Linked DNA regions of Coturnix japonica. The protein of the gene in region 2 purifies or fractionates together with the protein of the main gene of each other region. This does not show direct contact. Links are inferred from orthologs where the notes say so. Each region holds a gene or a part of one and is shown on either strand. Other genes may lie near its edges. The genes, in order: CD40, TRAF3IP2 and IKBKB.

Region 1 (4,100 bases), on a different chromosome or scaffold from region 2:
TCTGTGTATGGGGAAGTGTCTGACGGGGACGGGATGGGAAGTTCCACGGGGATTGCTGCGGGATGCAGGGCAGGCAGCCCGGCTGTGTGCAGCCTCAGGGCCCTGCTGTGCTTCTGCCTCTTCCCGTACTGAGCTGATGTGATTCTGGGAACTCTAAGCAGATGCCGGAGCCCATGGGGAGCACGGAAGGGCCCTGTGGACTTCTTAAAAGTGAAGTGAAACCTCGCACTTCTGCATGAGGAAGGAGCTGTCGGGGCCAGATCAAACATCTCCTCTGCTTCCCAGGGCAGATTCCTGCCTGCGGCCGCTCCTCCTTCACCCAGGAAGCAGCCGGTTACACGCTGACATCCACCCGTAGCTCGGCCGGGCCGGTCGCACCGTGCGGGGGAGCTGCGGGCACAGCCCCGGCCCCGCACGGCTCTCGGTTACGCTCTGAAGCTCGGGAAAGTCCCGGGGCGGCGGGTGCTGCCGGTGGGGACTTTGTCTCGGGACGTTCAGCCCGGTGACTGCAGGATGGGCGGCCCCTGCGGCCCCTTCCTGGGCGGAAACGGGTCGAGGCGTTAATATCGGCTGCCCGGCTCCGCACGGCTCGGTTCGATTCGGGTCGGGTCGGATGGGCGCGGCTCGGGCCATGGGGCGGCTCGGTCTGGGGCTGCTGTGCGCGCTGCTCCTGAACGTAAGTGCGGCGTCCCGCGGGGTGGGAGCGGGGCCGGGCCGGGGCTGCAACGCTGCGCTCCGTGATCACGGCCCGAAACGGGACCGGGATGCGGCGATGCTTTGCGGGGTGGGGGGGGAGCGCCCGGCGCCGTCGGGCCGCTGAGCTCCGGTCCCGGGGCCGCCGTCCAGCGCTGTGCCGGGAAGGGCTCGGGGAGCCCCTGGCTGGGTGCCCGGAGCACGGTTCCCACTCCCGGGCGTTGAGCTTCGTCGTTCCTCGTTCTCGTGGCTGAGATTCCCCCAGCAGGGGCTCGGCGGTCCCTGCCCTTCCAGCTCCATGTGCCTCCCCTTGTCCCACAATCCCCATCACGGGCGGTTGGGGCGCAGCTGTGGATTTGAGGTGCGGAGAGGGCGACGTGGTCCCTGTCAGCAGCAATCCCAGCCTGTGTCGAGGCAAAGCATGGGACAGGCATGGGGCGTGTTGTCCCTGCTGGAGGGGCTGAGCTCTGTTATGGGGTCTTGTGGGTTCGATGCAAGGCCGGGCCCTGGGGGAAGCAGGGGCAGGGTGGGGTGTCTGAGCTCACTTTTGGTTCCCCTTCCTGCCTGAAGTCACAGACACATGGTGGGGGGGGGGGTCAGTTCCCCTCTACAGAGTCAGGCATCCCAAGCTAGTGCCCCTTCACACCAGGACTGCCCACAGGACCGTGCTGGGGCTGACCAAGAGCAGACGCAGCAGTCTGTGTGGGTTTGATGCTCCTGCCCAGGAGGCACAGCTGGCACCGCTCCCCCTGCCCAGCACTGCTGCACTGGTGGCGCTGGCAGTCACCCAAAGTGAAGAGCAATCACCACCCCGTAGGAAACCTGGGAAAGCACGGGGCTGCCCTACAGGAGCCACTGCCATCCCACTTCAAAGAGAGAGCTGGCAGTGCCAGGCAGCGCAGGCAGATCTGCTGCGGTCTGTGGTTAGCCCAGGCATGGGAAATGTGGTGCAAGGAAAACCTCACCTTGGGGCACGACTCGGAGGATGTGCAGCTGTGCAGGAGTGTGGCAGAGCAGCATCTCTTCATGGGTCTCATCTCTTCCAGTGTGGGCAGCCTGGTGATGCTGTGAATTGCTCTGACAAGCAGTACGAGCACAAGGGCAGATGCTGCAACCGATGCCAGCCAGGTACAGAAATGCCTTCTCCTCCCTGAGGTCCTGCACCGTGGCTGCTGGGGCTGCATTTGGCAGTTGAACATCATGCCACAGTGGCCTCAACAGCTACAGCCCCTGGTGCTCCCACGTCCTGCTGTCAGATCTGCTGCCTGTGGGGGAAAGCTCCCTTTTCCCCCCTCACCAGCCCGTCTTGCAGGAAAGAAGCTGGTCTCTGAATGCAACGACACGGAAAACTCTGTCTGCACACCCTGTGAGAATGGACACTACCAGCAGGGCTGGACTAAGGAGAGGCACTGCACGCCCCATGACATCTGTGAGGACAGTAAGTGCTCCATGTCCCCAGCGTGTGGGGCTGCAGGGGCTGCACTCCATCCAGGCTCACTCTCACTTTGTCCCCACTCCCTTTCACAGACGCTGGCCTCATCGTGAAGAGACATGGAAACACAACACACAACACCGTGTGCCAGTGCCGGGCTGGCATGCACTGCTCTGATGCCAGCTGCCAGACCTGCGTGGAGAATGAGCCCTGCAAGCAGGGCTTTGGCTTTGTGGCAGGTGAGACCCAGCCACCCCTATCCCTGCCATGGGCCCCATGTGCTGGCGGCATCAACCTCAGGTGCTCCCAGAGATGGAGGCTTCCTCTGCATGGGGCCCTACCAGAGCTTTGTGAGGGCTGCATTGCAACCTCCACTCCCTTCCAGCCATGGCCGAAGCCCAGATGACCTCACCGTGTGAGCCCTGTGCAGAAGGCACCTTCTCCAATGTATCTTCTAAAACCGAGCCGTGCCACCTCTGGACAAGGTCAGTGTCAGCCACTCCCCACGCTCCATCCCTGTTCCTCTCTGCACATTCCCTGCTGTCACCTCTCGTGGCACTGGGACGAGGCACTGGGATGGCCTGTGCAGGGCAGGAGTGAGGGCAGCAGGGTGCAGTGAGACCCAGGTCACTGAGCTGGTGGCAGTTGTTGTGGTGTTCCCTCAGTTCATGGACTGCCAGACCCCGGGGGGGTTTCCAGGCCCAGCTCACTCCTGTCTGTAAAAAGTGGCTGAAAAGTTCCTCATGTTCCCTGGTAGAAATGTGAGCGTTACCTCTGGACTGTATTAGTCTCGCCTCAGCTGCCAGCCATTGGATTTCACTTTGCTCCTATCTATGGCCAGAAATTACCTCCCCACTGAGCCACTTTGTGGCATGCTATCGAGCCATCTCTGAGCTGTTCTGCAGTAGCTGAAGTGCCCCAGCCCCAGTATCCCCCTCCTGTGCCTCAACCCAAGGCACATGCCCACCTCTTTCAGTTCCAATGGCTTCTGACAGGGCCCTGGCATCTCCATCCCCATCCCACCCCAGGAGCCCCATTGCTGTGCCCTGACCATGAGCTCCCAGGGCCCAGGGGCTGCTGACTGCATGCTCTTGGCTCCCAGCCCCATGGCTGTGGGATTCCCACTGTGATGACACAGTCTCATTCTTTGCCTGCAGCTGCGAGGAAAAGGGGCTCGTGGTGAAAGTGAAAGGGACAAACACTTCAGATGTGATCTGTGGTAAGTGCTCCATACCCTGCCTGGTGCAGAGCTGGGATGGGCTGGAGTTCTGTGCAGCCCACTGAGTCCCCATCCCCTGGCAGAGTCGAGCCGGCGCTCATCGCTGTCAGTGCTGATCCCCATCACAGCTGCTGTTGTCACCTGCCTGGTGGGCATCTGCATCTACTGCCTGGTGCACACAGGTGAGGAGCCAAGTGGGGAAGGCAGCAGCAGTTCTACCAGAAACGGGGAGGCCCTTCAGGGGGTGTCACTGTGGCACCCAGCCCTTCCAGCTCTGAGCTCAGAGCTTGTTGCAGGGCTGGGGGCCAGGCAGGGCAGGACCTGCTCCAACAGCAGCCTTCTCTCCTTTCCCTGCAGACCTCAGGCGCCGTGGGCCGAAACAGGTGAGTTGGTTCCAGCCGTGGGTTGGGGTCCCTACTGGCACGGTAGGGATGTGTGGGCTGCAGAACGGGGGCTATCTTAGGGCTGTTCAATGGGGACGGGGCCACCAGGAACCCACACAGGGAACCCACATGGGGTGAGGCTCCTGTGCTGCAGTGGGAGTGAGTGCAGGAGGATCCCATGGAGGGATGCGGCTGCGGGCAGGGGCTGTGACTGCTGCTCCTGGCCCTGACCTCCTGCCCGCACACAGACTGAGGCCGAGATGCCCAGAGAGCTGGAGATGCAGCAGCCCGAGGAGGTGGACTTCCCAGTGCAGGAGACTCTGCTGGGAGGGCAGCCCGTGACACAGGAGGACGGCAAGGAGAGCCGCATCGC
Region 2 (3,643 bases):
GTCTGGCTGAATAACCCTAAAACCCAGAAATATGAAATGGACTGCAAATAATTGTTTACTCGTTAATAATTGCATGCTGCAAAGGAAATACAGTAGGAATATGCCAGCTCAGTGTATGATGCCCGCAGTGCCTCCAGAAAACCTCCTCCATGGTGAGCGGTGCTACTTACATGGGCCGTGCAGTTGCTGCTCTGCCATATAACGGTGCCCACAGAAGCCATGGGCTTGTGCAGAGGGGTTGGGATGGGGCAAGTGCTGGCACCTGGGGTCCTGCTGAGGCTCCGGTCCAAAAAACTCTCTGGAGATCAGTGGTCCTGGGAGGTCCTGGGGGTTCACCATGGACACAAGTGGTAAGGGGAGCTCCAGGTGCCTGACACCCATGATGTCTTGGGACTGGGAGTTGTAACCTGTGTCCTCAGTTGCCAGCTCTGCTGGGAGTTTGTCTCCTGAAGGCTGCTGTGACCATGAACTCCCTTTGTTGTTCTCCTCCAAAGAGTCCTCAGGAGCATCATGCGAGCTCCGCTCTGACTTACTGGAGTTGGTATCAGCTGAAAGCAGCGGTCCTGGCTGCATGTCTGATTTGTCCATAGTTAAAAGATGCATCTTGGAACGAACTACTTCCAGTAATGATTCACTGGGAGAACAGAAGCGCCCACATCCATCAGGATCGGTATATTCTGACCATGGCCTGCTGTCCGGCCCCATGGCCAGCTGGTGATGCGCCAGTGCTCTGCAGAGATGTGCTGCATTGGCACGTGGTCTCTGGCACTCCTCATCCTCCACATTCTCCACAGAAGGCTGTGAAGCCTCTTCCAAGACAGGTTCAGGAAATGGGGAATACAGCATGGATTCATCCACTTCCACCGGTATGCTTCGGCTCACAAAAGTGCCTGAAAAGACAAGAAACGCTATAGATTGACCTCCAGAAAGACAAGTGCCTATTACCAGTCACTGCTCAGTGACGGTCAGTTGGAATACTGAAGAGCAGTATGCATTCTTCATATTCACGTTAAGTTCTTCTTAGAAGGACAGGTAGAAATTTTTGGCAAAGCAATAAAGGAGAGGGTTGGCTGGAGTGCAGGCAGCACAGTGTTAGAATCAGGACTAACCTGACACAGAGGCCATTTCCCAGTTTTGTAGTCACACGAGAAATGGGAGTCAACTGCCGTGCTGCAAGGTCAGAATTTTCCAGCAAACTGGAAAACAAGAGAAATGTGAAGATGGTACAGTTTCACACAGGCAATAATCCCAAAATAACTCTATCTCAGGGACTGGAAAAGAAATACCGGTTAGAGCTCTGGAAATCACATTTTGTAGAACAGACAGTTTTATGGGATTTCTGAATCTTACTGTTCCTGCTGAGACAAGGGGAAAAAGAAGCACATGAACTGTCTCTCATAGGTAATTTCTGCACCTGAAAAAAGAGAAGGCTGTTTAAGTATGGAGATTTGGCTCAGGCATATTCCAAGGAATACAACCACGTGCCACATTTTACTCCAAACCTTCTAATAATAATAGCTTTGTAGTGATCCCTTGGATCTGAACTTCACTGCACACATACCTGAGCAATTCAAAATCCACATCTGGCTTCTAAGCGATGCTGTTTATTTTATCAAACCAGTTAATCCATTCTATTATAACACGGTTATTATTTCAAACTATTGAGAATTATAAGACAATTTAGAGACTTTGGTTACTGTTTGGATTATTTTTTTTTTTCCCCATTCTTCAGAATTACTTTGGGCTCCAGACATCAAAATCCTCCCTGCCCTTGGGGATACTGTTAGTAAGTTTGGCCCAGCCAAACAGTCCCTGATGACAGACGTCTCTACTCCACCTTTGCTTAGAATGACAGCAGCAATGACGGGTGAGTGATGTGCTCTTGCCGTACTCACCCACTGGAACGAGAAGTACAAGCCTTACTGCAGGCTCACACACAGCATCCCATTGATGTTGAAACAAAACACTGCTGGATGTAAAAGAAAACCTTTGGAAAGCACAAGTATAGTTTAACTTCTCTTCAGTGTTCTCTGTCCTACCCAGCCTGCTGGGCTGCTCAGAAAGGGCTCTGTGACACTCCTGAAGCTCACAGGTGAACCAGCAGAAGCTTAAGGCACAACGTTCACTCACTATCAGTTTCCATATCTGTATGTCACCGGGTATCACAGAGGGAAGAAGGCTCAAGCACACGGTCACTGAACTAAAGCAGGAAGTGGAAAACACCCCTGGTCCTTCACCCTGAGCTGGAGGCAGCCGAGGCCAAAGCGCAGCAGAGCAACGCGCTGATGCAGCTTCCCATACCTAAGCCTTTGATTCACAGACTTTGGCACAGAAACAGATCAGCACATTTTATGTCAACATGCTGATCTCTGCAGCCATCTTCATCCTCTGGTATTGGGGTGGAGATTAACTTGCTCCCACCAGGTGCTACCCCCTGACATGGGGTACAGAGAAACAAGTCTGGGACTCATGACCCCAGCTGTTTTCCCTCTACTGCATGGAAAAAGCCAACATCCCAATAGGAGCATTCTGAAGAATGGTCTAAGCACTCAGCAACGGAAATGACAGTGTTTGACAAGAGCATCTGACTTGAAAGCCTGGTAAGGAAAGTTAAAATCACAGCATGTTTGAGGAGATCTCAGTGATTCAAGGATTCAGCTTCAGTCACACAGCAGCTTGAACAGAAAGTTCAAATGAAGAACATACTCAGACAGCCGCAGCATTAAAAACAATTGAACAGGATCACAGGGAGGCACAAGGCAGTGCCCCAGCCTCTACCCTGGCTCCCACAGCCATATCTTACAAAAGCAAAGAACATGCCCAGTCCCACAGGGCGAGAGCAAGGCTTTATGTTTGTGCTGATCTGATGAAGTGATGTGCGTTCCCCCCTGAAAGTACCTCTGGCATAGCAAACTCAGTGTAACATTTACCGGGAAGTAGGATAAAAACTGTGCTTTGCAGCTGCTGGGCCGCAATGTAAATATTCTTCCTTTGTGTAACATAAAACCCACCTATGCAGAAGATCTACCACAGATTCCAGATACACATCTTACATTATAAGAACATCCACAGGGAGAGTTTTCCTGGGATAATTATAGCAACATAATGATGTTGGCAACATTTCCCATGTAGACAAGTCCTCTGAGCAGCCATTATCTACAGCAGCACAGCGAACATGCTGCTGCTCTGACAGAAAGGAGGGCCCTGTGCTCAGCTGGCACAAATCATACTGCACACTCTTACTCCCTCATCATAGAGCAGCTCCAATGAGCTGGTTTCTCTTCAGAAAGGGCAGGCTCAGCTGCAGGCACCTGGGCATGGCTCCTCCCCTTGAGCAACACGTTTTGTCTGAGCACCTTACCAGCAGGTAGAATTCTTCACAAACACCCAACACGGCATTTTAGGAGCAAATCTGTAAGGCCTGATACACAGCGGCATTTCTTCAATGGTCTCTGAAACAGTAAGATCGAAATGCTGGAAACCACATTGAATCCAGATCCTCTACATTAACAGCTGCTGGTTTAGCTCCATGTCAAGAACAGATTTTCTACAGAGAAACCAAGAACTCAGTCCAGAGCTTGGGGAAGCAAACAGAGGTCTCTCTGTTGACTTCAGCAGGCATCAGATGGGATTTAAGATTTCA
Region 3 (4,113 bases), on a different chromosome or scaffold from region 2:
ATTCTACACTTGTGTAGCTCGGGCTTGTGAAGATATTGCCATCACTTACCAATATCAGACAGTAAGATGAGAATGGCTTCTTCCCGCAAACCACAGCAATTCTCCAGCTGATTCAGGTACTGCAAGAAAACACCAAAATGACAGCTTCTCCACCCTATATCCCATTGAAGGATCGCAGTCCCACGTATTCTCAAAACACAAGATGTTCAGGCATGAACAATTAAGTTTTTTTTTATTTGTTTGTTTTTTTACAGACAAAACCATGGAGCTGGGACCTCTCCTAGCAATAATTAGGGCTTCAAGCCTCAGTGCATCCATAGGATGAGAAAGGGAGAGTGGAAAGTCAGTGTTACTGCAACTTTGCTGGGTCCTTCATAAGCATTTCCCCTGGAGCCTAGCAATACCAGCTCCACTGTCAGCTGTAAGTTACAGGTCTCATCTATGGGCAGGTTATAGCACTGTCAGCTGTAAGTTACAGGTCTCATCTATGGGCAGGTTATAGCAAAGTCAGCTGTAAGTTACAGGTCTCATCTATGGGCAGGTTATAGCGAAGGTTTAAAAAAGCAGTAAGATAAGAAGCAGCACTAGTAACTGTATTTTTTTCCTATTACAGACAGGGCCTGCACCTTGAGCTACAATGGTCTTGGACGTGCTCCAAATCCTGTTGCATATCCTTCACACATGCTCTCATCTTCTACATGCAAAATTGCTGCATTGTTACTTGCAGACAAATAAAAGTCAAAAGCCTCAGAAAGCACTAGAGATTTTCAGAACTTTATCAAGGACTAACGTGTAAAATCCTCTTGGTATCACATAAAGAATTAGGAAGCATCAGAACATGAAAATATGCTTTAAAGAGAAACTCCTAAAAAGAAGCCCCTAGGTTCCATTCCGCTGGGAAGCTAATCCAGCTTTTAACCTTTCACCACCACCACCTGTCTCAGCTGCAGCTGGGACAGTACTGCGTTCTTCAGAGTGCAGGGCATGACACCGTGTATTGGTTCTATAAGAAAAACAATGCTGATACACACCAACGTTTATAGCTGCTGCTAAGCAGTACTGCACAGCATAAGGGCCATTCTCAGCAAAGGCCCAAGTTACTAGGAGGGAACAGGATTAGGACAGCTGACTCAAACTGATGGTGAACAGGATATGAGGGGCTGAGGGCCGGCTCTTCCAGGCTTATTTGTCATAATAATGATCTATTCTCTGACTCAGTAAATAGTTTTTATCTCAACCCACCGAGTCCCACTTTTGTCTTTCAGTTCTCTCCCCCATCTCACTGGGAAGGAGAGGACAGTGAGTGAATGACTGGCACCTCACAGGAGCACCTGGTGAGCTCACCTTGCGGAGGTCCCCACCCTGGCAGTACTCCATGGCCAGCAATGGCAAATCATTCGGTGCAAGCTTCTGCATTCCCTCAGGAACATCACGGGCAGCCACCACATTGGGATGGTTCAGCCTGAGAAACAGAAATAAGGCAAATGGACACCGCACCAGAACCACACCTGCACAGCCTCACACAGTCATGGTTGTCACATTAAGTCCTATAAGGCCATTAATGCTTTTAGAAACTGAAAGTCAGCTCTAACAGCCTGCAATTTATCCATCCCTCACAGGCCTACAAACTCATTCCAGCTCTTTGCACACCCTATGTGTGCCACAGATGTATCACAGGTGTGACATGGAGCTACAGGACGAGCTCAATGCCCCGCCGGGCCGGTATCACCCCCCAGCAAGTTGTTTAGCAAGAGCTAATCAACCCAACACCCCGTGTTAACCAACCCAGAACCCCACAGCACAGCCCTGTGCAGATGCTAACACAGCAGAGCTGCTACGAGGAAAGCCTTAGACCCGAAGCTCTCAGGAATAACAAAGACCTTCAGCACGTCCTCGCTCCATGCCGGACCAGCCGCCCCTCCTGCCCGTACCTCAGTGCAGCCATTACTATAACGCCTATGCCCCTGTGAGGACAGGCTGAGGGAGTTGGGTTTGTTCAGCCTGGAGAAGAGAAGGTTGCGGGGTGACCTCATTGCAGCCTTTCAATACCTGAAGGGAACTTACTCCCAGGAGGGGAGTAAACTCTTGGAAAGGGCTGACAATAGCAGGACTAGGGGAAATGGTTTTAAGTTAAAAGAGGGAAGATTTAGGTTGGATGTTAGGGGGAAGTTCTTCATAGGAGCGTGGTTAGGCCCTGGAACAGGCTGCCCAGGGAGGTTGTGGATGCTCCGTCCTTGGAGGTGTTCAAGACCAGGTTGGACGGGGCCATGGGCAACCTGATCTATGGAGTCTCTATGGGGTCTATGGTGTCTCTATGGGGATCTATGGGGTCTCCTGGGCAACCTGATCTAGTAAATGTGTATGTTCGGTGGCCCTGCCAGGCAGGGGGGTTTGGAACTACATGATCCTTGAGGTCCCTGCCAACCCGAGTCATTCTGTCATTCTATAACGCGCCCATCAGGGCCGGGCCCGGCAGCGCGGGGGCGTTGGGCTCCACTCGGCCCGTCCCGCAGCGCCAGGCCCCGCTGCTCCCCATCACCTCCTCACGATCTCTATGTCCCTCACCTCTTCACGATCTCTATTTATCTGCCTCACCTCTTCATGATCTGTATCTCCAGGGACCAGCGCTCCCGGTTCCTCGGGCTCAGCTCCTGCCGGCACTGCTTGATGGCCACCTGCTCGCCGGTCTCCTGCGGACACAGCGCGGGGTCGGCTGAGCGCCGGTCGGGCCGGGCCCGGCGGAGCGGGACGGGACGGGCCGCCTCCTACCTTGTTGTGCCAGCGGATGACGTTGCCGAAGCCGCCGGTACCGAGGCGCTCCTTCATCTCCCAGGGGCCGCAGGTCTGCGCCTGCAGAGCCGGCGGGCGGCTCATGGCGGACGGAGCGCGGCGCCTCCGCGGGGCCTGGGCCGTCTCCGCCGGCACTTCCGGCTCCGGAGGCACGTGGTACGAGGCGGCCTTAAAGGGGCCGCGACCGCCTTCCGTCAAGTGAGGGCTACAAAGGCGATAAGGAGCAATAAATTCAGCTTTTCCAATGAAGAAACTCTGAGACGTAGGACTCAGGCTGCAGTAGGGCCGCCTTCCGTGGTTGGTATGTATTGTAAAAATGATGTGGTACTTACCACAGAATCACGGAATTATCAAGGTTGGAAAAGACCTAGAAGATCATCCGGTCCAACCATCACCAATACTTCCCAGTTAAATCATATCCCTCAACACAACATCCAGGCAACATAAAGCAAGAAAACACGTTTCTGAAGCCTTTTACACTTCCTGCATTTTGCACCTGGTGTGGAACTGAAAGAATCATAGAATCATAGAATTACCCAGGTTGGAAAAGACTTTGAAGATCATCAAGTCCAACCGTAGCCTAACCAGTACCCTATAACCACAGTACCCTATAACCATAGTACCCTATAACCATAGTACTCTATAACCATAGTACACTATAACCATAGTACCCTATAACCATAGTACTCTATAACCATAGTACCCTATAACCATAGTACTCTAACTCTAAAAACCCTACACTAAATCGTATCCCTGAGTACCACACCCAAACAGCTCTTAAACACAACCGGGGATGAAGCAGAGGCTTCAGGCAGCACCTGAGCAGCTGAACAGTACGTAGGGATCCTAACTTAGCAGCCTCTAAAAAAACCCTGTCCTGATGCAGGATCAGCTGGGAGGTAAAGCAGCGGACACTGCTGAATGGGGAAGGTGCTGTTACTGCTTGCTTTCCTAAAGCACAGTAAGAAGCACACAGAGCACCCACACCACTCTCTAGAAAGCTACAGCTGACCTTAAGCTCAAAAAGCTGGGAAATAACAACTTCTGAAATCCTCACTGGAAGCCATTACTTCATTAGGAACTTTAGAACTCCAATAGCAAAAAAAAAATCATCTTTAAAAGAGATAGAAATTAGCCCGTTTGTTCAGCAGAGCCCAACCAACCTTTCTCAACACAGTCCCATTTGTTCCTAAAGCAGATGTATGGCACTTATGTTCACACGTGCAGATGCATATGACAACCTTGACACAGGTTTCCATACAGAAAAGACTTAAACATTCAAGATAAAGTTTCCTCTTTGCCAACGTGCAAAATGACCCTCAG

The links.
Region 1: the proteins of TRAF3IP2 (region 2) and CD40 purify together in Homo sapiens (affinity purification with western blotting, with the first as the bait; 3 studies listed by BioGRID). This does not show direct contact. The link is inferred for Coturnix japonica from reciprocal best matches to the Homo sapiens genes TRAF3IP2 and CD40.
Region 3: the proteins of TRAF3IP2 (region 2) and IKBKB purify together in Homo sapiens (affinity purification with western blotting; 3 studies listed by BioGRID, with this or other methods). This does not show direct contact. The link is inferred for Coturnix japonica from reciprocal best matches to the Homo sapiens genes TRAF3IP2 and IKBKB.

Annotation. Positions count from the first base shown.
Region 1 is NC_029535.1:9,595,238-9,599,337, forward strand, and holds the start of CD40 (tumor necrosis factor receptor superfamily member 5), read left to right. Parts: upstream 1-1,283; 5' UTR 1,284-1,628; coding exon 1,629-1,821; intron 1,822-2,005; coding exon 2,006-2,131; intron 2,132-2,220; coding exon 2,221-2,364; intron 2,365-2,510; coding exon 2,511-2,610; intron 2,611-3,282; coding exon 3,283-3,344; intron 3,345-3,427; coding exon 3,428-3,526; intron 3,527-3,701; coding exon 3,702-3,727; intron 3,728-3,975; coding exon 3,976-4,100.
Region 2 is NC_029518.1:60,097,903-60,101,545, reverse strand, and holds part of TRAF3IP2 (adapter protein CIKS), read right to left. Parts: intron 1,197-3,643; 5' UTR 1,126-1,196; coding exon 1,110-1,125; intron 891-1,109; coding exon 171-890; intron 1-170. UniProt on the Homo sapiens protein: E3 ubiquitin ligase that catalyzes 'Lys-63'-linked polyubiquitination of target protein, enhancing protein-protein interaction and cell signaling. Transfers ubiquitin from E2 ubiquitin-conjugating enzyme UBE2V1-UBE2N to substrate protein.
Region 3 is NC_029537.1:4,085,870-4,089,982, reverse strand, and holds the start of IKBKB (inhibitor of nuclear factor kappa-B kinase subunit beta), read right to left. Parts: upstream 2,937-4,113; 5' UTR 2,875-2,936; coding exon 2,770-2,874; intron 2,691-2,769; coding exon 2,596-2,690; intron 1,463-2,595; coding exon 1,345-1,462; intron 120-1,344; coding exon 50-119; intron 1-49.